4 linked regions of the Arabidopsis thaliana genome follow. The protein of the gene in region 1 interacts with the protein of each later gene in a pairwise test. Each region holds a gene or a part of one and is shown in the gene's direction. Other genes may lie near its edges.

Region 1 (8,221 bases):
GGTTTCTCTTGCAGAAAGTCTTGAAGCAAAGCGACGTGGGTAACCTCGGAAGGATCGTTTTGCCAAAAGTAATTTTTCTTCTAATTTCTTGTAGCCTTTGCTTTCCATTTTCTAAAAAAGGTTCAATGTTTGTGTAAAAATATTGTCAAGTTTTTATTTTATTTTTACTCTTATTGGTTAAGTTATATTTTACTGAATTTTTATTTTTTTTAGAAAGAAGCTGAGACACACTTGCCGGAGCTAGAGGCAAGAGACGGCATCTCTCTGGCCATGGAAGACATCGGAACCTCTCGTGTTTGGAACATGCGCTACAGGTAACTGATTATGATGCTAACATGTTAACATTGATTCTTTTTATAAAAACAATTCGTGTATTTTGTCAAAAATTGGAACTCGACCAAAATGTTTTTTCGGTTATTTAATTGTCTTCTTAAATTGGTTTTGCAGGTTTTGGCCTAACAACAAAAGCAGGATGTATCTCCTCGAGAACACCGGTACGTTTTTGAAAATGTACCCGTTAATAATTTTCCTTTCTTTTGGTTTGTTTGTTCTCTTGTAATTATTGTTGTGGACGCATACATATCTAATTTTCCTTGAAATTACGTTTACAGGCGATTTTGTGAAAACCAATGGGCTCCAAGAAGGTGATTTCATAGTCATATACTCCGACGTCAAATGTGGCAAATATGTAAGAGAAGCATCACAATATTTTTCTATACTTTTCATTAGTATTTAACTCTCATCATTACTTTTGTTGGTATTTATCTTGTCATAATTAATTGAGAATAATATTATGACAGTTGATACGAGGGGTTAAAGTAAGACAACCGAGCGGACAAAAGCCGGAGGCCCCACCGTCGTCAGCAGCTACGAAGAGACAAAACAAGTCGCAAAGGAACATAAACAATAACTCTCCGTCGGCGAATGTGGTGGTCGCTTCACCAACTTCTCAAACTGTTAAATGAAAAACAGAGACAAAAAGAAACAATATAAATATTATTATGTACCAAATAAGAAAGAGGGCAAAAGGAAAAAATGGCAGCGTACCCGAGTGTGCCACTTCTCGTGCATGCATGGGATCTTGAAGACAAATGGAGGGTCATGATTAAAGCTGTTTGGTCGGGGTCCGGGTTTTTACTCCATTTTTTGCTTTTTCTTGTCGAGTCGGTTCTTTTATAACTCTTTACTCTTTTTACCTTCAGGATATTGTAGAGATGATTAATTCTGGAAATGGTGTTTGTGTTATATTTCTGGAGAGATGATTATATAGTTCTTTTGTTGTTGTAATTGGTTAATATTACATATGTGGCTCATTTCTTGAGTCGAGCTTACATATCGTTTATAATGTGAATGTTTTAAGAAGAGTTGAATGATACAATATTTTTACACAAACATTGATAATGATAATAAAAATGATAATTAATGTACAAAATTATTTGTAAATATGGACATATGGACAATTTAAGAAGGAATTGAGATAATTAATTTTGTACATTAATTATCATTATCAATGTACAAAATTATTTGTAAATATGGACATATGGACAATTTAATGATAGTAAAAATGATAATTAATGATAATTAATGTACAAAATGATAATTAATGTACATATGGACATATGTACAAAATTATCCATATCATTCACATATTCACATTGTAAATATTTGTAAATAGAATGTTTACATATGGACATTTTAAGAAGAGTTGTTCCTTACCACTTTGATTCTATCATTTTCTTGTTTATCTAGTTAGCTTGAACCCTTTGTATTATTGAGTAACGAAAATCTTTGGAGGAAAAAAACAAGTGAGGTAGGATTATAATTTTCCTCATATAAGTGTGTTGTTTGTGATACATCATTATTCTTTCTTATTTTTGGTTAAACCCAAAAACTGGACCGCACCTAAGGAATTGAGATATTCAAAAAAACAATGATCTGACCCGTGCCAAATATCCACACCACACCTTTCTCCATTCAGGCCCTACTAGAAAGCCGTGAGACGGTTGACAACTTGAAAACAAAAGACTTATAATGAGACTATGAGAAACAAAAAAGAAAGTGGAGTTGATGAAATAATCTGATCTTATGAAAGTGAAGTTGATTACAAAAGGAGCAGCGTGGTAGTTGAATAGTTTCAGATGTTGATAAAGACGTGACATACATAGTTGTCTCAGTAATCTAATCAAGGACTCCTCATGTTTCTAACTTCTTCTTCTATAAAGTTGCATGAGATTTATATCTGGAGAACATATATTGCTCTAATTATGTGGTCTTATTATCATCAATATATGCCTTTTTCTACATATGAATATATGATCGACATGTATAGATATTTTTTGTTGTTCAAAAAAAAAAAATGTATAGATATTTTTTTCATTTTCCAAAAGGATTGAATTTCGAAATGGTGTAGCCACCTTAGAGGTATACAACAATAAATAATTTTCCCGACTTGTAACAAATGTTTGGAACAAAAGTGTCAATTAGAATCAAAGTAACCATCAGATGCCTTTTATAAATTTCTTTATCTATGATTATTTTTTAACCAAATTCAGACACTTCTATATTACTAAAAGCCAAACTTGATATCTATTTCAACAAAAAAATTTTTTTTTAGTCTGCTGTGACTCAGTATATCTAATTGTTTTCACATCATTCATAAACTTTTACTAGTCCATTGTAAAATACAGTATATTAGAAATTGTTTTCCTATCTATATATGCTTAGGTTTAAGAAAACAACTTTTGGCCATGAATATTTGAGTTTTTAAGTGGTTTTGGATTATAGATTTTGCCAAAAGGAAAAAATATTGATTTAAAATTACAAAAAGAAATCTGCAAACAATTATCAAAAACTCATTAAAGTGGGATTTATTTTTCATTTTGTTTACAAAAATGCGAACTCTAATCTTGATTGGATAATTAAATGGGTTTTTGGAAAACCAATAACTATGCTATAAAGTATAAACTACTACCATTCAAGCCTTCTATTTTTCTATGCCAAAAAATACTACGCAAAAAAAATTGAGCGTGTTTGATCCAACAATAAAACAAATTACTCAATCTTGTTTGATGTCAAAATCCAAATCCAAAATATGTTTCGGACACCTGACCGGTCTACTCGATTGACACCCCTGAAATTTCGAAATAGACAATACACAAAAGGACATAGACAACATAACTTCATCTCACTTAGATATTCACATTTCCCATTTTTCAAAATATTGGCTCTTCATTTTCTGTGTACTTCCAACAAATTGTCTTCTAGAGAAACCAAAACTATCTAAGATTTCTCCACCTTCTCCATCATCCACCGTTGATTCACTCATCTCATGTCTCCAATGACTCATCTACGGTCAAGATTCAAGGAGCATGAAACATCCCATGAACCAAATTACACAAAAACATTTACCTTGATAAAAAAACATCATTTTATTATTTTGGCAGAAGAAAAAGTCTTAATTCGAACTTTGAGCGTGCTTATAGTTTAATCAATTAAAGTTATAAAGAAAAGTAACTTTATAAATTCAGGAGTAATCAGTAGATTTATACCATTCTTGTCCATCGCTTTAAGCCACACTTGATCGGACGGTAAGCAATCAATCCGGTTTACACTTTCTGATTATAAAGATTCCAACTTTTGGTTATATCGGACGGTTAATAATCAATACGGTTTGAGTTTAAATCATAGCCGTTGAGATGTTTGACTAAAGTGTTTACAAAGTAGTCAACACTCTCTTTCTGCTACAAAGGACCAGTCTTGAAACTCAAAGTCCTTACCTTTCCCTTCTCTAACCTCTCTTTCTCTTTCTCTGTCTCTTTGTGAGAAATGGGCATGGAAGCTTTGAGATTTCTTCATGTTATCTTCTTCTTTGTGCTAATTCTTCACTGTCATTGTGGAACATCTCTCTCTGGTTCTTCTGATGTGAAGCTTCTTTTAGGAAAAATCAAGTCTTCACTACAAGGAAACAGTGAGAGCTTACTGTTGTCTTCTTGGAACTCCTCTGTTCCTGTTTGTCAATGGAGAGGTGTAAAATGGGTATTTTCAAATGGGTCTCCTCTTCAATGTAGTGACCTCTCTTCACCACAATGGACTAATACCTCTCTGTTCAACGACTCTTCTCTTCACCTTCTCTCTCTTCAGCTTCCTTCTGCTAATCTCACTGGTTCACTCCCTAGAGAGATTGGTGAGTTCTCTATGCTTCAAAGTGTGTTCCTCAACATCAATTCATTAAGTGGGTCAATCCCTCTTGAGCTTGGTTACACTTCTTCTCTCTCTGATGTTGATTTGAGTGGTAATGCCTTAGCTGGGGTTTTGCCTCCATCGATTTGGAACCTCTGTGATAAGCTTGTCTCTTTCAAGATTCATGGTAATAACTTGTCTGGGGTTTTGCCTGAGCCTGCTTTGCCAAATTCGACTTGTGGTAATCTCCAAGTTCTTGATTTGGGTGGTAATAAGTTCTCAGGTGAGTTTCCTGAGTTTATAACTAGGTTTAAAGGTGTGAAGTCACTTGATCTTTCAAGTAATGTCTTTGAAGGTCTTGTTCCTGAGGGTTTAGGTGTATTAGAGCTAGAAAGTCTCAATCTTTCTCATAATAACTTCAGTGGGATGTTGCCAGATTTTGGTGAGTCAAAGTTTGGAGCAGAATCTTTCGAAGGGAACAGTCCTAGCCTTTGTGGTTTGCCTTTGAAGCCTTGTCTAGGCTCCTCTAGGTTAAGTCCAGGTGCTGTTGCTGGTCTGGTGATTGGTTTAATGTCTGGAGCTGTTGTTGTGGCCTCGTTGTTAATAGGGTATTTGCAGAACAAGAAAAGAAAGAGTAGTATAGAGAGTGAAGATGATTTGGAAGAAGGTGATGAAGAAGATGAAATCGGTGAGAAAGAAGGCGGTGAAGGAAAGTTAGTTGTGTTTCAAGGTGGTGAGAATCTGACGTTGGATGATGTTTTGAATGCTACTGGGCAAGTTATGGAGAAGACTAGCTATGGTACTGTCTATAAAGCTAAGCTTAGTGATGGAGGGAATATTGCATTGAGGCTATTGAGAGAAGGTACTTGCAAGGATAGAAGTTCTTGTCTGCCTGTTATAAGGCAGTTAGGACGCATTCGGCATGAGAATTTGGTTCCCTTGAGAGCTTTCTATCAAGGGAAGAGAGGAGAAAAGCTTCTCATCTATGACTATCTTCCCAACATAAGCTTACATGATTTGTTGCATGGTATTTTCTTTCATCATCAATCTTTTTTGCCATGGATCTTTCTTGGTTGATTTTTGTTATTCATGTGTTGTTTGAATGATGTGCAGAAAGTAAACCTCGAAAGCCAGCTTTGAATTGGGCTAGGAGACACAAGATTGCACTTGGAATAGCGAGGGGACTTGCTTATCTTCATACTGGACAAGAAGTTCCTATCATCCATGGAAATATTAGATCAAAGAACGTGCTTGTGGACGACTTTTTCTTTGCAAGGCTAACTGAGTTTGGGCTTGACAAGATAATGGTACAGGCAGTAGCAGATGAGATTGTCTCGCAGGCGAAATCCGACGGGTACAAAGCACCTGAACTCCACAAGATGAAGAAATGCAATCCAAGGAGTGATGTTTACGCCTTTGGGATCCTTCTCTTGGAGATATTGATGGGTAAGAAACCAGGAAAGAGTGGAAGGAACGGTAATGAGTTTGTGGACTTGCCTTCTTTGGTTAAAGCTGCGGTGTTGGAAGAGACGACAATGGAGGTTTTCGACTTGGAGGCAATGAAAGGGATTAGGAGCCCAATGGAAGAAGGTTTGGTTCATGCATTGAAGCTAGCGATGGGATGTTGTGCTCCTGTTACAACAGTTAGACCCAGCATGGAAGAGGTTGTGAAGCAGTTGGAAGAGAACAGACCGAGGAATAGATCCGCATTGTACAGCCCAACCGAAACCAGGAGCGACGCCGAAACTCCATTTTGAGTCTAATTGTGTTCTTCTACAAGCTTTTTTTTTCTTCTGTAATTCCTCACTTTAGTTGGCTATATTTGTTTCCTTGGCAAGAAACCATTCTGATTTGATTTTATCTATATTTGTTGATGAGAAATGGTGTAAGTGTAACAGAAGCAGTTCAAAGTATTAATATTGATAGAAGAATATATGATACATGATGATACACCAAATGAGTAATGAGGCAGAAGAAGAATGCACTGTACTACAATTTTGGAGTTGAGTCGAACAACACTGCGGCTCATCAAAGCTGGCCTAGGTTGACGAGTGGAGGCAGAGAAGAGTCTAAAATGGTAAAAGAGAAAAGAAAGGAGACGATGAAAATGTAAATGACGGGGACGAAGAAAACAAGTTAGTTTTCTTCCTTTGTCTCCCTCAGCTAGTCAGTATCCTCTTCGGTCTTGGGTTTGAGGATTATACAATTAACTAACACCGCATACCGATCCTGCATTTAAGGGCACCGGAGCTGTAGGTAAGCATACTTACTACAGAAGCTGGTTTAGCTCCCAAGCTAGAGGCTCTGGCATAGCTTGCAGGAGCAGCAGCTCCAGATTTAGTGAAGTAGGCACCGTTGAGCATTAGGTCTCCTTGAGATCTCCAGTTCCATTGCTTCCATTCCCCTTGCCATGAACCTACCCTCTTTGTCACCTGCCAAAACCATTACAATATTGAGATTCATCCTTTCTCAATATCTCCTACTCCGAAAGAGAGAAATTAAGGTATACCTCTTTGGCGAAAGGGTTGCCCGGGGCAAGGAAACGATTGCCTTGACTATTGATAGTAGGGTTAGCACTTCCACCAATTGCATACATTACCCAATGAGTATAATCATTGTTTACAACATGGAAATAACCATGTCTACACCTGAAATAACAACAAAAGAATCAGCCCTCCTGATTCTTGTAGCAAACAATCATCGAAAAGAAAACATGAAATGCATGACGAACCTCGGCATTCTCTGTATAAGCCCTTCCCCAAAATGGTTATATGCTATTGTCACTTGCATCAACTTGTCTCTAGTGTACGAATCACTATGCCCCATCAACATAACCTGCATTATCCATCAAGAAACTTCTTCTCAACTCTTTAACACACCCTACACAATTCAGTTCACTATACTAACTAATTTAGCTACTAAATCAACCAAAATCCACTCCAAAAACGTGATTCTGCAGCAAATTCATCATCAGTTCCACTGAATCAGCAAAGAAAGCTAACCTCGTTGTGGTGAGTCATGTAGTTATTGGAGATAGTAATAGCAGTAGATCCCATAATAGCATCAATCAAACCATCAGCACAATTAGACAAAGAGTTATGATCAATCCAAATATGACTCGATCCAAATATCGATATAGCATCACCATCCGCCATAGTCCTCCACCCATAATGCGACGGCGAGCTTCGAACCATAGCATTACCAGTTCTTCTACAATCATGTACATTAATCCCATGGATGATAATATTCGTCACATACTGAATCGTAATACAAGCACCGCCTGCGATTGCAACGTTCACGCCTCTTCCATCGATTGTTTTGAAGCTGTTCATGATTAGCTCTTGAGTTAGAGTAATCACCATGTCTCGCTTGAAGACGATCCATAACGGACGGTCTTGTATCACAGCGTGACGGAGTGTTCCTGGTCGTGGATTAACCGCGTCGTGGTCAGATGGATCTGTGACTACGTAGTAACGACCATCTCGTCCTCCGATAGCGTTACGACCGAATCCGATCGCGCAATTCGCGAGACGCTTTCGTCGGAGATGCCAATTCCGATCACATCTCCAACAGTCGTCTATTGGGTTTCCGGTGGCGCATGAGAAGAATCCTAACCTCCTCCGCTCTGTACTGTTCTTTATTTTCCTGAAAATAACAAAAAGAGAACAGAGTTATTAAATTGTTACAAATTGACCCGTGAAGTTTTTATTTTCCTGAAAATAACAAAAAGAGAACAGAGTTATTAAACTGTTACAAATTGACCCGTGAAGTTTTTGATTTCACATTAAAGCCCTCTTGGAGTTCAAAAATCACGTGGAGGAGAAGAAGGAACCATGTGGTGTAATAAATGTAAACCATTTATACGGAATCATATGATACGGACCATACGGAAACTTTTTTATATCATTCTTTTTAATTTTATTTTAACTTTCTATTTTTGTGATGTTTTAAATAAATGTTAGAACGTAAAGAATCTGATATATTTTATGGACAAAAATGTGTATACATTAATTACAAAATTTTGCGTCGGTGGGAAAAAAAA
Region 2 (7,161 bases), on another chromosome or scaffold:
CTCCTAGACTCTGGTTTCTTTAACCAGCTTGGCCTCAACGTTGGCTTCCTCAACACTACCGAATTCAGTGGCTTCTGCCAAGACAGCCATGACATGGGCGTTGTCACCACCGTCCATGCCAACTGTTGCCGCCACATCCTTGCTAAGATCTCTGATCTAACTCTTGTTCTTCGTGACTGGAAACGCTACAAAGCCTCCCATGTCAACAGCAATTGGAGCCCCCATGTTGAGTGCGGGCGTTCATGGAGTGACACTCACTATATCCCCAAGCTCTGACCTTCTTCGTTCATATATGCCAATTAATGAGATTGCTATAGTATACACAACTTCATCATCTATTAACTGCATATGTTCTTCAGATTAATCCTAGCTAGCTAGAGGAACAATTCTCTTTTGACAAGTAATTACAAAACATCATATATGTGTGTTACAACCAGATTGTTTTTCGCTCTTCGTTACAGCTACCCAAATAATTGCTGATAATTCTACTACCTAGCTAGCTACTTGATAAAAAGAACACATAGAAGACAGAGTTTCAAATCCAATGCACAAGTTGGTGGATAAAAACCAAATGAATGATCGAGACCTCGTGCACCAAAAGCAAGAAATATCATACCATTAGACCAAATGCTATGTTGCTGATGTAAAACTTAAATACTTGATTTCTCTTCTGTTTTGAGGAAATCAATTGATGTAGCATACAAAACTGTTTTCTGTACAGCCAAAGTGAGTCATCGGATGTGAAAGAAAGGTAATTTGTGGATCCACTTTTTTTGTTTTGAAACTTCAGGCACTTGATTTCTGAAAGTCTGGATGGGGATACAATAAAAAAACAACAATACTCTCATATATTACATGTGAAAATGTTTGATGCAATCCGGTGATGAATAGTTTAGTCAACCTTTGATGAACAGTATCATCAGGCGGTTATGAACATTGTCTTTGAGAATGACATTTTGTGTAATTGAAAAAACGAGAATGATATTTATGGCTTTAATTTTTTTCCTATTTTCTTCTTACATAATTTTCGAATTATCATTGGTATGTAAATCTAATTTTAAGTCTTTTGGGTATATAAATTAACTAAAACAACAATTTCATTTTATTTTGTTACAGGAAAAAGAATTGAAAAGCAGTGATTTTCTCATATATTAGGATTTGATCTGCAGTAGCCGCATGATAATAATTTTGTGCATATACATAAAGTCTTTGACATTTATTTTAAAATTGTGCATATTTTACATATTGAAGTTTGTATTTAAAAATACTTAGTTTTATAATCAAGAAATCAGTAATATCGCTGATAAATATGACTAATTGGATTAAATTTGATATAGTCTATATATTTGAAGTGTGTAATTTGTGAATATGAATTTTAAGTAACATCATAATAACTACTGCTCTATATAACATTGTGGAGGTTAAAATGTAAGAAAGGAAAATACAGATAGTATAATAACTAAACAAAAAGACTAAACATCAGAACAATTGGAGATATTTTATAGTTCTTTTTCAAAGTATTATAATATTTACATAATTATATAGATTATTAGAATTATTAATTAGTTGGACTATTATAGATATCGTTTTTTTTTTAATTATTGTGTGAAATTTGATCATTTTAAACTACCAACGATCCCAAAGATGATGCAAGAGAAGAGTCTTTGACCAAATGTAAGAGAAAAACGTGTTTTCGATGATTGATGGATATGGAGATCAGAATTAAGAAACCCTGATGAAGCACTCAAACTCTTCACTATAGGATGAAGGATTCCGTATAGAACCCAATTACATATGTAACCTTTCTTGGAGCTCTCTCGGCTTACAACTACATATGATTAGTGGGTACCTAAAGCATGGATTGATAAAGTAAATATTTATAAGATTCTCTAATCTCTATAGCAAATATAATAATATGTTGGCGTGATGATAATCGTGAGACTAAAGTAGGAAACAAAAACCCTAGAACAAAAGATGATTCATGTGTGACGTATTCGAGAAGGAACCTTAAAAACGTTTGTGATATTCACATTAAACTGGTGTTATACATCCAAATCCGGTAATATAAATATAGTGTTGAATTGTTGTGTGAATCAAAAGAGAGAAAATAGGGCACATGAAATAGTTGTGAGTATATCCTAATAATCCGAACAAAAACCAAAAACATATGACTTCCTACAATAACTCCTCCGGCAGTCTCGCCCTGGCCGTTGCTCTTCTATTTGCCGGCGCCTTATATATCTACTTCTCATCACGTTCAGCTTCTGATCCCATCTCCGGTCTCCTACAAAATGTCAACACTGTAAGTTGATTCATATAATATATATGGAATTCTAGAGTACAAATAAAGGAAGATTTGAAATATATTTTGAAATGGTACGTGACAGAGATTGATACAGTATCCGGTGGACGAGCTAGAGACGGTGCTGGACAAGGCGTCGACAGGGAACAACAAGACGGTGATAATAGCAATGGTGAACAAAGCTTACGTGGAGGAGGATGGAGGAGGGAGGACGATGCTGGATCTGTTTTTGGAGAGTTTTTGGGAAGGAGAGGGGACACGCCCGCTTCTTAACCATCTGATGGTGGTTGCAGCGGATCAGACGGCCTACGATCGCTGCCTCTTCAGGAGGCTCCATTGCTACAAGATGGATACGGAAGGGGTTGACTTGGAGGGAGAGAAAGTATACATGTCAAAAGATTTCATAGAGATGATGTGGAGGAGGACTCGCTTGCTCCTAGACGTCCTCAGCCGCGGCTACCATATTATTTTCACGGTTAGGTCCGTCCCTTGATTTTGTAACATATATAACAAAACACTTAATTTGTTGCTCAAACAAGTAGTGTATATACAATGTTAGGATACGGACGTGATGTGGCTAAGGAGTCCCTTGTCCCGGCTAAACGTGAGCTTGGATATGCATATAAGCGTGGACAGAAATAACGTGAGAGGACAATTGATCAACACGGGATTCTACCATGCCCGGTCCAACAACAAGACCATCTCCCTCTTCCAGAAATGGTACGACATGAGGCTCAAGTCTTTGGGCATGAAGGAACAAGACGTCCTCAAGAATCTCCTAGACTCTGGCTTCTTTAACCAGCTTGGTCTCAACGTTGGCTTCCTCAGTACGGCCGAATTCAGCGGTTTCTGCCAAGACAGCCCTGACATGGGGGCTGTCACAACCGTCCACGCCAACTGTTGCGTCCACATCCCTGCTAAGATCTCTGATCTCAGTCTTGCTCTTCGTGACTGGAAACGCTACAAAGCCTCCCGTGTCAACAGCAGGTGGAGCCCCCATGTTGAGTGCAGGCGTTCATGGAAGGACGTTCATTATGTCCCCAAGCTCTGACTTTCTTCGTTCATATAAGCAAATTAATGAGATTGCTATATAGTATACACAATTACATCATTTATAAGTGCATATCTTCTTTTGATTAATCCTCTAGCTAGCTAGATGAGCAATTCTCTTTTAACAAGTAATTACAAAACATCTTATATGTGTGTTACAAGCTATATTCTCGTTTTTTATTTTTTCTTTTAATAATATAGAGATTAATTTACTATGTTAGACAAATATGTTTTTGTTACAATGATTGTAGAAAAAACTACTTGGCTAATCTAATTCCGAAAGAGAGGAGGGCAAAATGGAAAGAAATTGAGAATGATCTCAATTAAGGTAGAAGAGACATTTATATCATTTCTTACCTAATGGCATATCATGTAAGTAACTAAAAGTTTTGTTAATTTTGATATGTAGTAAATATATATGTACGTTTATTGGATTCATATTAATTCCCTTAGGTAAACAGAATGTTACGTGAACGATTGAAAATCTCACAGAGTAAAAACACAAAAACCCTAATTACATGACGATTCTTATGTGATATATTCGTGAAGGAAGGAACCTTAAAAACGTTAGTGGATTTTCTATATACATTATTCACATATATCCATCGTTTATATAAATAAATAAATAGGTTAATTGTTTAGTACAAAATCACGAGAGAGAGAAATAAAAAAGGCGTGAGTCTCCTAACTAGCTCCTAATAATGCGATAAACCAAAAACATGCCACTTTGCAATAATTTCTCCGGCAATCTCGTCGTCGCCGTTGCTCTCTTCTTTGCCGGCGCCCTATATATCTTCAACTACCAAAACTATGTCAACACTCTGGTAAGTAAATTCATAATATATTGAAATTAGTGTAGAGTAAATATATATATAGGAAGAATTCAAATATATGAAGTGGTAACAGAGAACAACACAGTATCCGGTAGATGAGCTAGAGGCGGCCTTGTATACGGCAGCCGCCGGAAACAACAAGACGGTGATAATAACGATGGTGAACAAAGCGTACGTGAAGGAGGTTGGAAGAGGGAGTACGATGCTTGATCTGTTTTTGGAGAGTTTTTGGGAAGGAGAAGGGACTCTACCACTTTTGGACCATCTAATGGTGGTGGCAGTGGATCAAACGGCCTATGATCGCTGCCGTTTCAAGAGGCTTCACTGCTACAAGATGGAGACTGAAGATGGGGTTGACTTAGAGGGAGAGAAAGTATTCATGTCAAAAGATTTCATTGAGATGATGTGGAGAAGGACTCGCTTGATCCTAGACGTTCTTCGTCGTGGCTACAATGTTATTTTCACGGTTAGTTCCCTCAGATTTTGGAACATATAACAATATAAAACATTTTAGATTGTTGCTCAATTAGTATATTATATGTACAATGTCATCAGGACACGGACGTGATGTGGCTAAGGAGTCCATTGTCTCGGTTAAACATGAGCTTGGATATGCAAATAAGCGTGGACAGAATTAACGTGGGAGGACAGTTGATCAACACGGGATTCTACCACGTCCGGTCTAACAACAAGACCATCTCACTCTTCCAAAAATGGTACGACATGAGGCTAAACTCGACGGGGATGAAGGAACAAGACGTTCTCAAGAATCTCCTAGACTCCGGCTTCTTCAACCAGTTAGGTCTCAACGTTGGCTTCCTTAGTACCACCGAATTCAGCGGTTTTTGCCAAGACAGTCCTCACATGGGCGTTGTCACTACCGTCCATGCTAACTGCTGCCTCCACATCCCTGCCAAAGTCTTTGATCTCACTCGTGTTCTTCGTGATTGGAAACGCTACAAAGCGTCACATGTCAACAGCAAATGGAGCCCTCATCTTAAGTGTTCGCGTTCATGGAATGACACTCACTATATCCCTAGGCTCTGACCCTCTTCGTTTACAATACGCAAAATTAATGTGATTGCTAAACTACCATTAAGGGTAACACATGACATATGCCTCAACCTTAAAACATAACTATATCAACTATATCAAACGCTGTCGTTTTATCAAATACATCAAACGCTGTCGTTTTATCAAATACATCAAACGCTGTCGTTTGACCGACTTCTCTCTCTCTCGTTCTTTGCATTTTGGAAAGTTCGAAACAGAGCCTCTGTAAATTACGCGTAAAGTTTCAATCTTTATTCACACAATTCACACAGCTAATGTAAGCATGAGAATCTTCAGATTCACGTCAATCTCACCGCGGATTTTGCCGTCGAATCATTACTCAACATTCCCGTTGAAACAAAACGTGTCTTCTCTCTCACCGGCGAAATACATTGCGGGAGCTTTACAAGAACATATCAATTCTCCGGCCCCAAAAGCTGGTAAGAAGATACACGCAGATATCATCAAAACTGGGTTTCAACCAGATTTGAATATATCCATCAAACTACTCATTCTTCATTTAAAATGCGGTTGCTTGAGTTATGCACGCCAAGTGTTCGACGAATTACCCAAGCCAACATTATCGGCTTACAACTACATGATTAGTGGGTACTTGAAGCATGGATTGGTAAAGGAATTACTTCTTCTAGTTCAACGGATGTCATACTCTGGGGAAAAGGCAGATGGGTACACGCTTTCCATGGTTCTAAAGGCTTCTAATAGTCGTGGCTCGACTATGATACTGCCGCGTAGCTTATGTAGGTTGGTCCATGCCCGGATTATAAAATGTGATGTTGAGCTAGATGATGTGTTGATTACTGCACTTGTTGATACTTATGTGAAGAGTGGGAAGTTGGAGTCTGCAAGGACTGTGTTTGAAACAATGAAAGATGAGAATGTTGTGTGTTGTACATCAATGATCTCAGGTTACATGAATCAAGGTTTTGTAGAGGATGCGGAAGAGATTTTCAATACTACCAAAGTGAAGGATATTGTAGTTTACAATGCTATGGTGGAAGGTTTCAGCAGATCAGGTGAAACTGCTAAGAGATCAGTTGACATGTATATTTCGATGCAACGAGCTGGTTTCCATCCGAATATTTCAACTTTCGCTAGCGTGATTGGAGCGTGTTCGGTTTTGACGTCCCATGAAGTTGGTCAGCAAGTGCACGCTCAGATTATGAAGAGTGGAGTTTACACGCATATCAAAATGGGGAGCTCTTTGTTAGACATGTATGCCAAATGCGGAGGGATCAATGATGCAAGAAGAGTCTTTGACCAAATGCAAGAGAAAAACGTATTTTCGTGGACTTCGATGATTGATGGATATGGAAAGAATGGAAACCCTGAGGAAGCACTCGAACTCTTCACTAGGATGAAGGAATTCCGTATAGAACCCAATTATGTAACCTTTCTTGGTGCTCTCTCTGCTTGTTCACATTCTGGTTTAGTCGATAAAGGTTATGAGATCTTTGAGAGCATGCAGAGAGATTATTCCATGAAACCAAAGATGGAACACTATGCTTGCATAGTTGATCTCATGGGACGAGCTGGAGATTTGAATAAAGCTTTCGAATTTGCTAGGGCGATGCCGGAAAGGCCTGACTCAGATATTTGGGCAGCTCTTCTCAGTTCTTGTAATTTGCATGGTAATGTTGAACTCGCAAGCATAGCTGCGAGTGAGCTTTTCAAACTGAATGCTGATAAAAGACCTGGAGCTTATTTAGCTTTATCCAATGTCTACGCTTCTAATGATAAATGGGACAATGTGAGCAAGATCCGAGAAGTGATGAAAAGAAGAAGGATATCTAAAACTATTGGTCGTAGTTGGACCAGCGAAGATTGATTGGAGGTACTTAAATAAGAGTCTCATACTTATCAGGCTTTTTGAGTTTGGTCCATTCATAGAAGATTGATTGGAGA
Region 3 (7,701 bases), 1.6 Mb from region 1:
ATGCAATTGCTGTTTTAGACAAAGGCAAACTCGTGGAACGTGGGACTCACTCTTCATTGTTGTCAAAAGGTCCTACAGGTATTTATTTCTCATTGGTGAGTCTTCAGACAACTTCTGGTTAACTTAAACCATGTCGTTTCATCGCTAATGAAATTATTTGTAATCAAATAAATGTCAAGAAGTTTAATTTTTAAAGCGGGCTACGATTTAAACACTATATATATAACAATGGAATGTAAAAAAGAAAACAAAGCTTGTTAATTGAATAGAAATAAAATAAACGTTTTCCCAAATCTCATCTCAAAGCTTGTGGCTTCTCTTTTTAAGTTTTTATCTAGAAGTTCTAAGATATATACATAACCCAATTCAATTTTACCCTCAAGTTTCAGTTGAAATCCAAATGATTTGCAGTTCCAAGAAAAATTATTAGTATCTACTATTTTTTTCAACTCTATATTTTCTTCTATTTTTAGTTGACTCTATTTTAGAGGAAATATACTTGACTTTGCTCCATTGTATGACTCTAAAATAGAGGTAAAGTGTAGAGATTGCTATTTTTTGCTCTATATATAGAGTTATTTCTACATTTTTCTTCTATTTATAGTTAACTCTATTTTAGAGTCATACAATGGAGAAAAATCAACTATATTTCCTGTAAAATAGAATCAACTCTAAAATAGAGGAAAATATAGAGTTAGACATTGGAAATGTTTTCTTGGAAATGTTTTAAGAAAACATTTCATGTCGATATCGTAAAATACTGGTGTGAGAAAAAAAAAAAAAAAAAAAACTCAAGCATGAGATCGATTCTTGTTGGATTAGCAATATTTAATTTGCTAACAAAAATAACATTGTAATTCATGATCTGGATTCACAAACTGCATCATATCTTCATACGTTGGATATTGCTCTATACATTATAGATGGGTCATGGGAGTGCGTGCAAATGGCATAATGGTGGTAATTAGAAGAAAAAAAATCCAAATTTAATGAGTAGGAAAAGAAAATTGTAACAAAAAAAAAAAAAATCATAGTTCTAAAATAGAATTTTAGTTATATAGTTAAACAAAATCACGTATGAATGTTTCTATTTCTCTACTGTATTGTTTAATTTTTTGGAAAAATACACTTAAATTTATATGATTATTATTATTAATAGGTTCAGTCACAAATGTATAAAGCACACGAAAAGAAAAAGAACTTTCGTTCTTATAGAAGTCTTAATCTCCAGCGCACGACATAAGATATTCATTTTCATATCTTAATAATCGATTGTCGGTTTGATATAGTTGAATTTCAATGGTTAACCAATTATTTATATTGAAATAAATTTATAGCCTTTATAGTAATTAATAAGAAAATTATATAAATTGAGCTGAATTGCCTCTATTATACTGTATAAAATTGCATACTATGTGTAATACTATTGAAAGCAACTCGTAACAGATGTACCGTAAGATTCTTTTCATTAAGTTGCTTCTAAATAAGAACCCGCTAGAATTGGTAATGTTAGGAAGTTTTGTAATTAGGTTAACATAATTCCAAAGTGTGAGATATATATACGCATTACAAAAGAATAATGACATTTCCAGCCCACAGCCGCACATACAGCTGTCTTCAAACATAACACAATATTTTTGTTTCTTATTTGTGGATTTAATTTTAATGAACAATTATAAGAAAATGTAACCTTTTTAGAAAGAAAAAAAAAATCAATTTTTAAGAAAGTAGGTTTGCATGATTAAACATAAAATCAAAAAAAAAAAACAGGTGAAAGTATAGTGGCTGCTTTCTGTAAAACCAAAAAACGAATAATTATATTCCAAATTTAAAATTTTGATTGTCTTTCTCATATCAAGTGTTCAAATTAATGAAATGATGAATATTATAAAGTTCTCGCTAATTGTGTTGATTAGTTCTGGTTAAAGTAAACTTTTAGTGCGTTGTTATTTTCTATTGTCCACAAAATTATCATAATTGTAAATTATTTTATTTATATTCTTCATTTGTATCGTTTAGAAAAGGAAGAAAAATATAGATATATAAATTCCATTCATATTATTAGAAGCCGAGAACATTTGTTCATGTGGAATTCGTATATGCTATAAATAGTAATAGTAGTTCAGAAAATTTGCTAATCCAAAGAGATCAATTTTTAAAAAGTGAATATTCCAACTGTCTCATAACATAAAATACTGGGTCCTGACGTCCTGTATAAATTTGCAAGAGTTAGATTTGTTTGGAATGATGCTACAATTTGTATACCATTGTCATCACAAGAGAAAATTAATAAACTCTACTTAGGGAAACAAACAAATTCTAGTCATAGAAATGGGTGAAAACCTGCAAATAAAATCCATTCAAACGAGGAATACTCACATGCTTATAGAGTAAACACAAACACTTTCTATAATTTCTTTAATTAGAAGTAGCATTGTATCCAATGAATGTGAGCTGACCATTTAAATATATCATTATCTTTTGGGCGTTAGTCAATAGTGAATAGGTTATATATAATTGTATATCGTAATATGTAGAGATGCACATGGAACCATGTGTTCATTGGACCATTATCAACCCATATTCTAAAATTGCTGGATTCCTACAACCTAACATACTTTTTCTTTTATATGTAACATTTATGTCGATGCGTGAAATGTCTACATTTACATGCGTATTCATTTAATTAAATTATTAGTTAATCTTTCATACTTAATATTTAATAAAACTTTATGTCAATATTGACTATGATGAGTTAGTTAAACCTAACATTTATTTCTGTAAACAAAAATAGGTTATACTTATATATCGTTTATTTAGTATCTTCATCTCCAAAAATTGACCAACTCGAAATTCTCAAAAAACATTTAAAAATTAAAAACTTTCCCTTGCCCCCTAAATTTAACGAGTTAATATGTATAGATCATTTGCTCTCGAAACTATAAAAACTCAAATTTTACATAAATAATCACGCCTCTAAACCGTAATTATTTATTTATGACCCCATTAATGTCAAGATCGGTCCTAGATATATGAAAAAACGAATGATTAAATCTTCTTTTTTTCCGAATAAATCTTGTGAATAGATATGCCATTAAGAGTTTTAATATAACGGTCAATATTATTAACTACATGTTGTACTTGTACATATGTAACTGGTCATAAATGTATCCTTAATCTTTACAACCATATACAATGAACAATATTCACCAATACACTTTTTTTGCAGTGTCTCAAATTCAATGTTTGTTATACATTGACTGTGAGATAATAAAAAAAAAGTAATTTTATGGGTTTCTAGAAATAAAATAAAATATCTAAGAAAAAACAATGATAGTGACAATAAAAGAAAACGAGTTTTAAAAGAGCGTAAATTGACTCTCTTCTTTACAAAACCGCGTTTCCTTTTTTGTCTTGGTCTTCTTCGTCGACCTTTCTCTTTTTCTTTCTCTTGTCCATAAATTCCAGAAACTTTTTTTCTAGACACTTTAGAAACACCAAACCTTAAAAAGAGCTCTGCTTTGAGATCTTAGCCATTAAGTTCTCTTGATGATGTCTGGTTCAAGATTAGCCTCTAGACTAATAATAATCTTCTCAATAATCTCCACATCTTTCTTCACCGTTGAATCGATTCGACTATTCCCTGATTCATTCGACGATGCATCTTCAGATTTAATGGAAGCTCCAGCATATCAAAACGGTCTTGATTGCTCTGTTTTAGCCAAAAACAGACTCTTGTTAGCTTGTGATCCATCAGCTGTTCATATAGCTATGACTCTAGATCCAGCTTACTTGCGTGGCACGGTATCTGCAGTACATTCCATCCTCAAACACACTTCTTGCCCTGAAAACATCTTCTTCCACTTCATTGCTTCGGGTACAAGTCAGGGTTCCCTCGCCAAGACCCTATCCTCTGTTTTTCCTTCTTTGAGTTTCAAAGTCTATACCTTTGAAGAAACCACGGTCAAGAATCTAATCTCTTCTTCTATAAGACAAGCTCTTGATAGTCCTTTGAATTACGCAAGAAGCTACTTATCCGAGATTCTTTCTTCGTGTGTTAGTCGAGTGATTTATCTCGATTCGGATGTGATTGTGGTCGATGATATTCAGAAACTATGGAAGATTTCTTTATCCGGGTCAAGAACAATCGGTGCACCAGAGTATTGCCACGCAAATTTCACCAAATACTTCACAGATAGTTTCTGGTCCGATCAAAAACTCTCGAGTGTCTTCGATTCCAAGACTCCTTGTTATTTCAACACAGGAGTGATGGTTATCGATTTAGAGCGATGGAGAGAAGGAGATTACACGAGAAAGATCGAAAACTGGATGAAGATTCAGAAAGAAGATAAGAGAATCTACGAATTGGGTTCTTTACCACCGTTTCTTCTAGTGTTTGGTGGTGATATTGAAGCTATTGATCATCAATGGAACCAACACGGTCTCGGTGGAGACAACATTGTGAGTAGTTGTAGATCTTTGCATCCTGGTCCGGTTAGTTTGATACATTGGAGTGGTAAAGGGAAGCCATGGGTTAGGCTTGATGATGGTAAGCCTTGTCCAATTGATTATCTTTGGGCTCCTTATGATCTTCACAAGTCACAGAGGCAGTATCTTCAATACAATCAAGAGTTAGAAATTCTTTGATTTATTCATTTTTTGGGGTTTTGGTATGGTAAATTTTGTGAACTCATTACATGGATTCTATGTTTTTTGTTATTCCTTTTTTAATGTACATACAACATAAATACATCGAGGATTTTGTTCAAGATATTGATTATTGATCTTCATTCGGCTTAAGTATTCTTTGCCTCATGAATCATGAGTTGTGTGAATAAAAATAAGCTTATATTATATGTGTTCTATTCCAAATCACATACCTATATTTAAGAAAATAGCAAACAGATTTTTATTTATCTAAATACATTTTCATATATATGCTATCAACCTAGTTAACTCTAAATAAGTATAATTGGATCATGTATTTTGTTTTGTTTCATTAAAAATATGTTTACCAAAATACAAAACTAGTTAGTAAGAGGAGAGATCTGCGGATACTTGAGGGGTTTTTTCATTAAAAATGCCAAGTAGAAACTATAATATGATTTTGCAACGATATTTGGAGCTTTTTGTGGTTAATAGAACTTTTTTTCTTGGAAAATTTGTATCAATAACCAACAAAAATTTAATAATTTACTAACTAACCAAAATAAAAAAATGGATGATATTCAGTATATTTTCTACAATATTTGCTATTATACCTGTTTCTTACCACCACAATCATCTCCGTCATCACCGTCGCCGCCGTCATCACTACCACTACCACCGTCGCCGCCGTCATCATCACCGCCGATGCCGCCGTCATCATCACCGCCGATGCCGCCGTCATCACCACCACCACCGCCGGTGGAGCTACAACCCTTACCGGAACGAGTGCCATCACCGGAGTCACCACCCCATCGTCGGGGTTCCCATTGTCACCGGAGCCTCCATCGTCACTAGAGCCACTATCGTCGCCGGAGCTACCATCGTCACCAGAGCAACCGCTGTCGCCGGAACCACCTCCGTCGCCGTAGCCACCACCGTCGCCGGAGCCACTCTATTGCCGGAAGGAGTGAGTTGTAATTAAATACCCCATATGTGTTAGTCATTGAATTATGCATATTATAGTGTTAAGTTATTTAATAACTTTAACAAATATAGTTATTCACTTAATTTACCCTTTTTTTCTTTCTCTAGCGAAGCTAAAGAATTGGGGCTTTTATTGACTTTTTCTCTTAAATAGTTAACTGTGTAATGTGGGAATTACATTTTGAGCAAATAAAAAAGAGTGTATCGTTCCCAATATACACAAAAACCGATTTTGTTATGCAGTATGGATTTGTAGCCATTGGAAAGAATTGCTCAGTTTCTTTTGGATTTGTAATATGGGTAAGAATGTTTTATATTTAAGCAAAATGAGAGAAAAAATTGTTTTATATGTTGTGGTGTTATAGTGTTTCCATTTGATAATAAAACAATAGTGTTGTTAACTTATAATTGTTTTTGTTGGAAAAACTTTTCTCTTTTAACTATAAAAAAGCACTTTAAATCTAGAAAGGGCTTAAATAGGGCTCAACCCTATTTTAAACTTTTTTAGGCTTAAAAAGGGTTAGGGTTTACTTAGGATTGGACTTTAAATAAATAGGGCCGGGTTGGGCCGGAAAACCCTATTTAACATCCCTACAAAATCGAGTGAAACCCTAATCGAGCACGCACAAAAAAAAAAAACCTAATCCAATTCATGGAGAGACAAAAAAAGAAGGATATGGATTTTCTCACAGAGGATCTATGGGAGATTATACTTGCGAGATTACCACTAAAGAGCATCATCACCACTCCAAAACTGGTTTGCAAGGTATGGAAATCAATCATTGAGTCTCGGTGTTTCCGCGACCTTTTCCAATCTCTACACCAAAACTCTCATCATTCTTCATGGTCACTCATGTGTAGAGGTTGTGAGACAGAGATCATGTCTCACTATGGATCTGACAATTGGAATCTTAACCATTCTCTCGGTTATTACATCTCTTCCTTCCTTACCGACAAATTCGAGAACTATAATGAAGCTAGAGTCGTGTCTTACACGGATGTTGGATTGATATTGGTTCATCGAGTGTCAAGTCAGTCTTTCTACGTAGCTAATCCTGTTTCTAGGCAATGCGTAGAGATTCTTCCTTCACAGAAACTGGATTGTTTCTGGATTTTGGGAATAGCTACAAGAGTTGAGAATGGCGTCGTTTTAGGTTACAAAGTTGTTCTGTTGAAACCTAACTTCACTTTCCTCATATATTCATCTGAGACAGGCTTGTGGAGTCTCAACAGTGACACTTTTCCTTTCAGCTATATATCTCAAGAGTTTAACAATCCCATTAGCTTGAACGGAAGTCTTTACTGGCTCGCCCACGGTTCCGAGTATCAAGATTTCATTGTATCCATCGATTTCTATGTTGTTGATAGCCGCTCTGATCGATGCCGCGCTACGCCATTTCCTGATTTAGATAAAGTTCCGAAATTCAGAAGAACTTGCACAACTTCTCAAGGATGTCTCATGTATATGAACATATTCTCTATACCAAAAGTTGATGGTAATTTAGAGGACAAGTTATGTGTATGGAGGCTAGAGAGCTGGCAATGGCGACTAGTATTCGAAATATCTTTGGATTCTATTAAGACTGGTTTCGATTATATTCCGTTGGGAACAGACCCTTTTGATGCTAAAACAGTCTACCTTTGGAGTCGCAAATGCTTGTTATCTATTAACTTACACAATGGAGACATTGTGCTCCACAAGGATGTGGAACATAGCAGCGCGGGTCGCATTCTGAATTCCGTTGATTGCCCGAGAGATATGACATACATCTTAGAATCAAACTTTGCCTCGTTCGTTCTCCCACAGTGGATGCATCCGTTCCCTAGCACGGTGAGGAGTGTTTAAATCTAATATTTGTAAGACTTTCTTTGTTCCTTATCTGTAGGAAGAAGTTGTAGGATGATGCATAGTTTTCTTTTGAGTGCTTTCCTTACCGCGTTTTGCAATATAAGTTCGTTTTTATTCTGCAAAGAAAAGCTAGACAGATGTATATAGAAAACATGTCTATAAATTTGCAATAAAAGTTTTTAAAATCGTAATAATCTTTGAATATTCACGGTTACAAGTTT
Region 4 (9,283 bases), on another chromosome or scaffold:
GTAAAATCTAGTTGAAGTTTTAAATATCTATCCAAAATCTTTTCTTTAATCATTTTTGTGTATGTACAAGTACCGTCAATTTGATCAACTAATTATTTACTACAGCGTCAAATTGTAAATTTATCGGTTTTCGAAAGTCATGCTAGTTGACAAGGCAAATAGAATTATTTGAAATTGATGTTGATTACCTAAGTAGAATGACATGGATCGGACTTATACATTTCGATATTACAAAATCCAAAAAACAATCTTTATATATGGGTTTCTTAGTGAATGTATTGTTAAGAAAATAGATAGTGCAATAAAGAGAATGAGTTTGATGAAGGATATATTGTTCTTTTTCAATATTTTGAAATCGTATATATATATACTTCATTTTATGTGTGTCCGTATGATGTGAAGTTTATGAAAAATACATTCGTTTTTTTATTTGCAATCATAGATAGAATAAAAACTTACTCGATATTTAGTTAAGTGCTGTATATGTTAACTCGTTTAATTAAGACTTAAAAGTAGTAAATTCAAGTCACTTTTTAAGTGTTTTCTAGTGAATCTGTACTGGATAACTAATGTTGTTGCATCGTTCCATCTACATCGAAATTCTTAGTACATGAGACATCATCCTTTATTCAGCAGCATCACAATCATTTTGGAACGTTAAAGGCCTTTTGAAAAGTGTATCATAATCTGTTGTTTAACGTTCACGTTTCAAAACTAAACTTCCTAACAGTTTAGATAGCGATTAAAAATTTATATGTGAACTAGTGTTTAATTAACATGTAATTTTTAAACGTAAACTTTCATCGTTGTGCGGTTTAAATAGCAAAAAAAAAATTTTTTATGTGAAATGCATATAATTTCAATACTTCATTTTTATGAAATCTTATATACTGTAGTCTAATTTTAAAATATACGCAGCGTCACATTCTCAAAATTTTGAATAATAGGTCGAAAGTCGAAACTATCATATGCTATTTTATTTATTCATAATAGGTTTTTTATCGGGCATCAACAAGTCAATTGACGTAAAAATACTTTAAAAAAAAATTAACATGTGGAAAACTGGAAAAATAGAATGTAGTTTGATGGTCCAGCGTCACCTGAGTTTAATTTTTGGTACCGACTTCAAAACCAGATCGCACTATAGGCAAAAGTCTAAAGGCATAGCTAGGGGATACGTCAAACCCAATGAAATTCCAAAAAGCCAAGTTTCCTCGGTTTATACCCATTTTGTCTCTCTTCTAGTTTTGACTCTTTTTGGTTTTTACTTCCCAAGCGTGTGCACTTGATATTTGAGCCTCTTTTTCTTTCTATATGACTATGCATATTGTTGTTTATTTCTTCACAGTACATAATAAGTAAATGTGAAAAATACCATTAGTCAAAGCTTCAAAGTCTTCAAGCCCAAGCATCCATACCTCTGTCTTCGTGAAGATAATTAACCCTCCTCACCACAGTTAATCATGTCCCTCACCTTCGAATTTTTTATCTTTGACCAAACTCTTTTCCCTTGTTACTTATTGTTTAAACCATATTTGTCTAATTTACTGGTTCACTAATTAGTTTACTGGTGCACTAATTACTTATTGTTTAAACAATACTTATCGTAATTCTATTTCTACCAGACTATAAGCTTGAACATTATTGAACAAATGAGTGCTAGATTTAGATTAAAGTCTTAAGATATTGAGTTACAAGAAAAGTATCAATTAATATTCATTTATCCATCGTTTTAGACATTCACTTACTAAGAAAACCAATGTGGATGCGTAATTTTTTTTCATGATAGTCATATCGTACGTGTTTAATATCTTGGACCTAGAAGGTGTGTGAGTTTTCAAGACCTATATTGGGCCTTGACTTGGTTAATCAGCAATATGGGCCAATCAATAAATATTATTGACGACTTGACATCGTTTTTATTTTTGGTAATTTCTCAAAGCTGCTTTAGTGCTTTCTAAACGACAACTTCATTGTTTACACTTACAGTCTTCAAAGAGTTACTACTTGGCCGACAAAAGAAATATGTTATTATTGTACTTTTAAAAAAAAAAATTATCTTTGCTAATAATTTGTAAATGTAGGTCGGCCAACTAATTATGGAAATTAGTTTTCGCTTAGAGTCTGACATTTGAAAATCTAGTACAAAACTTTTTTTTTAACAAAAAACAGAATAGAGTGCTTCTATTATTATTGCTCATAATCATTAGCCATCCATTGGTAAAAGTAAAACACGATGGGTGTGATGAATATTTCCTAACCAATAGGCTATCCAAAAACAAGAGAGCTTATAACATATCTTGATAACCTTGGCAAATATGAAGTGAGTTTTGGTGAAACTCAAAAGGTTTAAAAGTATATGAATAGATGTCGACGATTCTTTAACTTTCCGATATAATATGAAATAGAAGGAGTAATAAAAACAAATTCATCAGACATTGTAAGCTTAGACTAAACAACTTTTTGTACGAATGTATATTGACTAGAAAACCAAAACATGATAATAACATGTCATGTCACTTGATGACCCAAATCAGATTTCGATTGAACATAATTATTCAGCTCCCCGATATCAATCTCACAATATTCATTTACGTTGTGTTTTTTTTTATATGGAATTCTGACCCTTTCCTCCATCTTATGAATTGGGTCTAAATTTGAACTTAAATCGCTCATGATACTAATTAATAAACATAAATCCATATTTTTTAAAATGAGTTATTGATTGATAAGTATGTTTCTTACAAGGGAGTGAGGTATGAGTGGCCTATATATAGTTTTGGTTTTAAATTAATGGGGTCTTATGAAAATTTGGGACACTCAACCATAAAATCCACAATACTTTGCAGTCGGTGGTGTACTCAGCAAGAAGATATGGTGGGTCTAACCAACTTGAAGACTATTTATTTACTATTGGGAGTCAAACATAATTGAACATTGAATACGAGAAACGAAAACATAAATGTCTAATTGAGATCCACGTATCCCATTAATTGTTTGAGAAATAAAAAGAAGCATAAATACGTCCGTTCATAAAAACATAGCTAAAAACATCAGTTCATAGAAGATCCATAAGTCCCTCAATTGACTAGTTAGATCGATGGGTGTGCATTAGTTCACATGAGTTCATAGAAACTAGAAACTAATCATTAATCAAGCCTAAATACATCAGTTTCAGAAAAACTTATTAATGACCATTAATTTATTTAACTTCATATAAACAAACGTTGAATCATGTCATAGAAGTTCTAAATACGAGATATACTAACATATTTTGATACAAAAATGATTAAAAAAAAAAGGATGATCAAAATTACAAAATTGTTCAAAGTTGATTTTGAATACACATATGAGAAATACAAATATCGGAATTACCTCAAAAATTTTTATTTTATTTTGTAAATTTAAATTTCATTGCTACGTGTCTCTAAGATGTTCTTTATTACTTGATCTTTTAAAAAAAACAAAATTGTTTCAAAAAGATTAATTTTTAGTTTTTTATGCACTATTTATTAGTTATTATGAATAAATTTTAAATTTTAAAATAAATAATTGAATATCACTGGTTTAGAATAATAGAAAAACAGAAATCACAAAAACTAATACATTTATGATCAATTTTAATTTTTTTCTTTTATTTTGTGTGCTTTTTCTAGAAAATCAACTAAAAAAAATTACTGCTCATCCTAAAAAACATATTATTCATTAATTAACATTAAATCATACTAAGGAAACTAAAAAAGAAATAAAGAACCCAGACATCATACTAAGGAGGTTAAAAACTTTGGATGCTAACTTTTTTTTTTTTTGACCCAGACATCAAAGTCTTAAAAGCATTCTCATGGAAAGTACAGTGTCCGCCCAAGTTATATCACTTCTTGTGGCAAATTTTAGCGGGATGTGTACCAATAACGGACAATCTACGAAAACGCGGAATAAACTGTGAGATAGGATGTAGCAGATGTGGTGCTCTAGAAGAAACCATTAACCACACGCTTTTCTTATGCCATCCTGCTCGTCAGATTTGGGCACTTTCACAGATACCTACGGTCCCAGAAAAATTTCCTTATGCATCTATATATGCAAATTTGGATCATTTATTTTGGCGCATACCTTTAGAATTTGATTCATCTTCATTTCCATAGATAATTTGGTATATTTGGAAAGCAGGGAATAAAAAAATCTTTGATAATGTGGATAAAGATCCTCTAGAGATCTTACATTTGGCGGAAAAAGAGTCAGACTTGTGGAAGTCCGCTCAACTTGAGCTTCACAACGAAAATTTTGGTTCTTTCAATTTGGAAGATCGTAATCGAGTGCGGCATTTTTCTTTAGACAACAATTATTCTGGATATCGTTGTTTTGTAGATGGATCTTGGAAAGATACCGACAAGTTTTCAGGCTTAGGATGGTACTGTACATCATCAACTGGAGAGACATCAACTTTGGGAGCTGCCAATCTCAGAAGAAGTTTATCTCCTTTACATGCCGAGCTGGAAGCTTTCCTCTGGGCGATGAAGTGTATGATTGGTGCCGACAACCAAGATGTAGTTTTTCTTACAGACTGTTCAGATCTGGTGGAGATGGTGTCTTCCCCAACCGAATGACCAGCTTTCTCATCGTATTTGGAGGAGTTACAGAGCGATAAGGATGAGTTCACAAACTTTTCTCTATCTTTAATCTCTCGTAGTACTAATGTTAAAGCAGATTTTTTGGCACGAAAAGTTCGTACCCAACCGCTTCATATTACATTTGTAAACAACATTCTTCAGGATTGACTCGTTTGAGTCCTAATTAATTTTCGGATGACAAAGAAAAAAAAAAAACCCAAATTATTAATTCCACAGAGCAAGACCAATCTTAAGATACATTTACAGCCGTTGGATCCAACTAGTAATCATCAGGGGCCGTAGTCCGTAGGATTAATTACTACGCGGTTTTTGCAACATATGCTTTTCTACAATTGATGGGTCCCCATGTTCAGAGGTATGTTCTTCCCTACTGGAAGTACCAATTTATAGTTTAATCAAATTTATTTTTTTGTATCAAAAACTTTAATTTTGTAAAGCCTCCACGCGAAACTTAACTTCTAATAAACTCTCTCAATTCTCTATTTTTTTTTCCCAATTATGCATAAACTTATTCATTCTGGTTTCTGGTTATAAACAGTGTGAAACAATATATTTTTTCTGGTTAGAGTGTGAAACAATATAATTGTACTGAATTACAGTAAGAAATCACTTTTTTGTATTTTTTTTTTCAAGCTATCAGCTTTTCATTTTCTTTATTTTTTTCCTTTTTATTTTTTATTTATTTTATCAAATTTTTCTTAGCTTTTATTAATTTTATAATTTTTCCGCCGATTTTAGGTTAAAGAAAAAAATAAAAATACGAAAATATCAGACGTCGATTGAATCTACAAAGTTTCATCTCCTCTTCTCTCTCTCTCAATCTCAATGGCTCTGTTTTAAAAAGGGCAAATTAGAGAGATTTCTCCTTCAATAACAAAAAATCGCCAGCTTTATCTCTCTCTTTTTCACATCCCATGGCTAGATGGTGACGACGATTCACGCATAAACTAGGGTTCCCCCACAAATCATCTTACACGTATCCTCTATTCCTTCCTTCCTTTCTCCGTCATCATCATTTTTCCCACCGACAACAATCTCTCGGAGTTTGGGTATTATTACTTCTCTCATCAACCAATTGTACCACTAGATCTCCCAGATTCCTTCATTATCTCTGTATGTTCCTTCTTTCCGACCAATCTATCTCTGTTTTGTCAGATCGGGCTTACTTTTAAAAATCTGTTTTGTTTCTCAATCTGTTAATAACTAATGACGTTGTAGTAGTTAAAGACTAGTGTTTTGTTGTAGCTTGTTTTATTAGATCTCTTTCGTTATTCTTACGGAAGATTTGATTTATTGCTTCTCTTTCAAGACAAAGTTTTTATTTTTATGAATGTCTCTGTTCTAGTTTTAATAATATAACAGATTTGAGATTCTCTTTTGTCTCTTTAGTATATTTGTCTTGTTTTTGAACTGTTGTTGTTGTTGTTGTTATGTCTCTATCTACTTATTCAAATCTAAAGCTTCACTCTCTTTTTTTTGCCTCTTGATCTGATTTGGAGCTGATCTGTGTTTTGTTAGATCAATAATGGCGTTGAAGTCTAGTTCTGCTGATGGTAAAACCAGAAGCTCTGTTCAGATCTTCATTGTGTTTAGTTTATGTTGCTTCTTTTACATTTTGGGAGCATGGCAACGAAGTGGTTTTGGTAAAGGAGACAGTATTGCTCTTGAGATGACCAACAGTGGAGCTGATTGCAACATTGTTCCTAGCTTGAATTTCGAGACTCATCACGCTGGCGAATCAAGTCTTGTTGGTGCTTCTGAAGCTGCAAAGGTCAAGGCTTTCGAGCCCTGTGATGGTCGTTACACGGATTACACTCCTTGTCAAGATCAGAGACGTGCCATGACTTTCCCGAGAGATAGTATGATTTACCGAGAAAGGCATTGCGCTCCTGAGAATGAGAAGCTCCATTGTCTTATACCGGCTCCTAAAGGATATGTGACACCTTTCTCTTGGCCTAAGAGTCGAGACTATGTGCCTTATGCTAATGCGCCGTATAAAGCATTGACTGTTGAGAAGGCTATTCAGAATTGGATTCAGTATGAGGGAGACGTTTTTAGATTCCCTGGTGGTGGAACTCAGTTCCCTCAAGGTGCTGATAAGTATATCGATCAGCTTGCTTCCGTGATACCTATGGAGAACGGAACTGTTAGGACTGCTTTGGACACTGGTTGTGGGGTAATGTTTTATACTTTCTTGACTTTCTTATTGAAACTACAATACTTACATGGTGGAACTAAATTGAGACGTTTTGTTAGGTTGCAAGTTGGGGAGCGTACTTATGGAGCAGAAATGTGCGTGCAATGTCTTTTGCACCAAGAGATTCACACGAGGCTCAGGTCCAGTTTGCTCTCGAGAGAGGTGTTCCCGCTGTTATTGGTGTTCTTGGTACCATAAAGTTGCCATACCCAACACGTGCTTTCGACATGGCTCATTGCTCTCGGTGTTTGATTCCATGGGGAGCAAATGGTTAAAACCTTTTCTGATCTTATATCAATTTGACTTTCACTTTGTCTAAAGACATATCAGTTACTTACAATGCTGTTTTTCTTTTATAACAGATGGGATGTACTTGATGGAAGTTGACCGTGTGCTTAGACCTGGTGGGTACTGGATTCTGTCTGGTCCTCCAATCAACTGGAAAGTCAACTACAAGGCATGGCAACGTCCCAAGGAGGACCTTCAAGAGGAACAAAGAAAGATTGAGGAAGCTGCTAAACTTCTTTGTTGGGAGAAAAAGTATGAACACGGTGAGATTGCAATTTGGCAGAAGAGAGTCAATGATGAGGCATGCCGATCAAGACAAGATGATCCTAGAGCCAATTTCTGCAAAACCGATGATACCGATGATGTCTGGTAAGTTTCATTTCTTATATTCCTCATTCTTTTTTCCTTGCTAGAAACATCACCGTATGGCTCTAATAATGAATCTTCTCTAGGTACAAGAAAATGGAGGCATGTATTACACCGTATCCGGAGACAAGTAGCTCAGATGAAGTAGCTGGTGGTGAGCTTCAGGCTTTCCCAGATAGGCTCAATGCAGTGCCGCCCAGGATCTCTAGCGGTTCGATCTCTGGTGTTACTGTTGATGCCTATGAAGACGATAACAGACAGTGGAAAAAACATGTGAAAGCCTACAAGAGAATCAACAGTCTACTTGACACTGGAAGGTACCGTAACATCATGGACATGAACGCAGGGTTTGGTGGATTTGCTGCTGCTCTTGAATCCCAAAAGCTTTGGGTTATGAATGTTGTTCCCACAATTGCCGAAAAGAACAGACTCGGAGTTGTATATGAACGAGGACTCATCGGTATCTACCATGACTGGTAAGTAAAAGATTATTCCCTCTTCTCACAACTTCTCAATAACTCATTGTCTCTGGTTTGAGAGACTCTCTGTCTACTGAAATGGTTTCAGGTGTGAGGCTTTCTCTACATATCCAAGAACATATGACCTGATCCACGCGAACCACCTCTTCAGTCTATACAAGAACAAGTATGTATAACTGTTTTGTGTAATGATTCATAACAACAGTTTTTTAGAGGTATTTTGAGATTGCTAATGTATGAATCCGAAACTCTTTAGGTGCAATGCGGATGATATTCTTCTAGAGATGGATAGAATTCTCCGACCAGAAGGAGCGGTTATAATCCGGGATGATGTGGATACATTGATCAAGGTGAAGAGAATCATCGCTGGAATGAGATGGGATGCGAAGCTTGTCGATCATGAGGATGGTCCTTTAGTTCCTGAGAAGGTTTTGATTGCCGTGAAGCAGTATTGGGTCACCAACTCCACCTCGACTCACTGAAGTTACTTTATTTCCGGTGTGACCTGACATTTTGATCAAATGATAGAGCTTTCGTCCTTAGGGAATGTGAGAGAGCTGCAAATCTTGTCTTTAAACACTTTTTGAAGTATCTATTTATTGATGTTATAGTTTATTTTTGTTTCCCAATCCAAAAGCTTGGAACTTTGTGGTGTACCATTGAATTCTCAACTTAATAGTTTTTGCACTAGCCAACTCTGTTTCTTCTTCTCTTACAAACTCAGATTGTTTAAATCGACGAGTATGTTTATGCTTACCACTAGTGTGGAGAAGAGATGTGTCGAAGACCAATAAACCGAACGTAACCGATGCTTAATTGCTTACCACTAGGTATACGAAATACCATGTAGTTTATTCAATTGATCATAGTTTATCTAGTAGACATTTATGTGTCCATTATTTGCATAAAAATCTATAGAAAATGGTTTGGGGAAAAAAAAAATTCTTATCAAGAATTGTCATTTACACATTAAATGTGATGAAAACAACAATAACAGGATCTGAGTCTCTGAATGTGTGTAATGTTATGAATCAACTTGCAACTCTTTGGTCTCAGATTTCTTTGGGAAATTGAGACTGGCCTGTATAACTCTCTTAGTTCCTGAAAAGAAAACACAAGATCCAGAAACATCAGCAACAGAGAAAACATACAAATGAATCATTTCTTTTGGTGATCAAATCAATTTACAAAAGTTTGAGTACCTTTCTCTGGATTCTTCTTAATCGAATTAACGACTGTAGATTTCCAGTCCTCATACTTAGCCTCCTCCATCTTCTTGTGTCTTTTGTAACATGAAGACTGAAGAAGCAAATCACATGTAG

What was found.
Region 2: the proteins of TMKL1 (region 1) and AT1G28695 interact in a protein complementation assay, tested with the Arabidopsis thaliana proteins (one large-scale study listed by BioGRID).
Region 3: the proteins of TMKL1 (region 1) and GATL10 interact in a protein complementation assay, tested with the Arabidopsis thaliana proteins (one large-scale study listed by BioGRID).
Region 4: the proteins of TMKL1 (region 1) and AT1G26850 interact in a protein complementation assay, tested with the Arabidopsis thaliana proteins (one large-scale study listed by BioGRID).

What each region holds. Positions count from the first base shown.
Region 1 is NC_003074.8:8,999,816-9,008,036, forward strand, and holds TMKL1 (transmembrane kinase-like 1), read left to right. Parts: upstream 1-3,753; 5' UTR 3,754-3,825; coding exon 3,826-5,206; intron 5,207-5,292; coding exon 5,293-5,936; 3' UTR 5,937-6,128; downstream 6,129-8,221. Other genes in the region: ABI3 (AP2/B3-like transcriptional factor family protein), read left to right, coding at 1-68, 214-314, 448-494, 612-688, 801-965; AT3G24670 (Pectin lyase-like superfamily protein), read right to left, coding at 6,390-6,611, 6,689-6,827, 6,911-7,014, 7,182-7,824. UniProt on the Arabidopsis thaliana protein: Does not seem to have conserved a kinase activity.
Region 2 is NC_003070.9:10,079,965-10,087,125, reverse strand, and holds AT1G28695 (Nucleotide-diphospho-sugar transferase family protein), read left to right. Parts: upstream 1-4,003; 5' UTR 4,004-4,071; coding exon 4,072-4,176; intron 4,177-4,258; coding exon 4,259-4,651; intron 4,652-4,740; coding exon 4,741-5,232; 3' UTR 5,233-5,255; downstream 5,256-7,161. Other genes in the region: AT1G28710 (Nucleotide-diphospho-sugar transferase family protein), read left to right, coding at 1-276; AT1G28700 (Nucleotide-diphospho-sugar transferase family protein), read left to right, coding at 2,168-2,302, 2,388-2,777, 2,862-3,353; AT1G28690 (Tetratricopeptide repeat (TPR)-like superfamily protein), read left to right, coding at 5,522-7,084.
Region 3 is NC_003074.8:10,586,342-10,594,042, reverse strand, and holds GATL10 (galacturonosyltransferase-like 10), read left to right. Parts: upstream 1-3,357; 5' UTR 3,358-3,549; coding exon 3,550-4,647; 3' UTR 4,648-5,027; coding exon of another isoform or gene 5,028-5,048; 3' UTR 5,049-5,096; downstream 5,097-7,701. Other genes in the region: ABCB15 (ABC transporter family protein), read left to right, coding at 1-122; AT3G28335 (uncharacterized protein), read right to left, coding at 5,028-5,048, 5,273-5,599, 5,859-5,891; AT3G28330 (F-box family protein-like protein), read left to right, coding at 6,284-7,477. UniProt on the Arabidopsis thaliana protein: May be involved in pectin and/or xylans biosynthesis in cell walls.
Region 4 is NC_003070.9:9,300,306-9,309,588, reverse strand, and holds AT1G26850 (S-adenosyl-L-methionine-dependent methyltransferases superfamily protein), read left to right. Parts: upstream 1-5,260; 5' UTR 5,261-5,680; exon of another isoform or gene 5,681-5,744; intron 5,745-6,149; 5' UTR 6,150-6,156; coding exon 6,157-6,807; intron 6,808-6,887; coding exon 6,888-7,098; intron 7,099-7,190; coding exon 7,191-7,485; intron 7,486-7,568; coding exon 7,569-7,958; intron 7,959-8,049; coding exon 8,050-8,127; intron 8,128-8,217; coding exon 8,218-8,443; 3' UTR 8,444-8,783; downstream 8,784-9,283. Other genes in the region: ORC6 (origin recognition complex protein 6), read right to left, coding at 8,986-9,062, 9,164-9,260.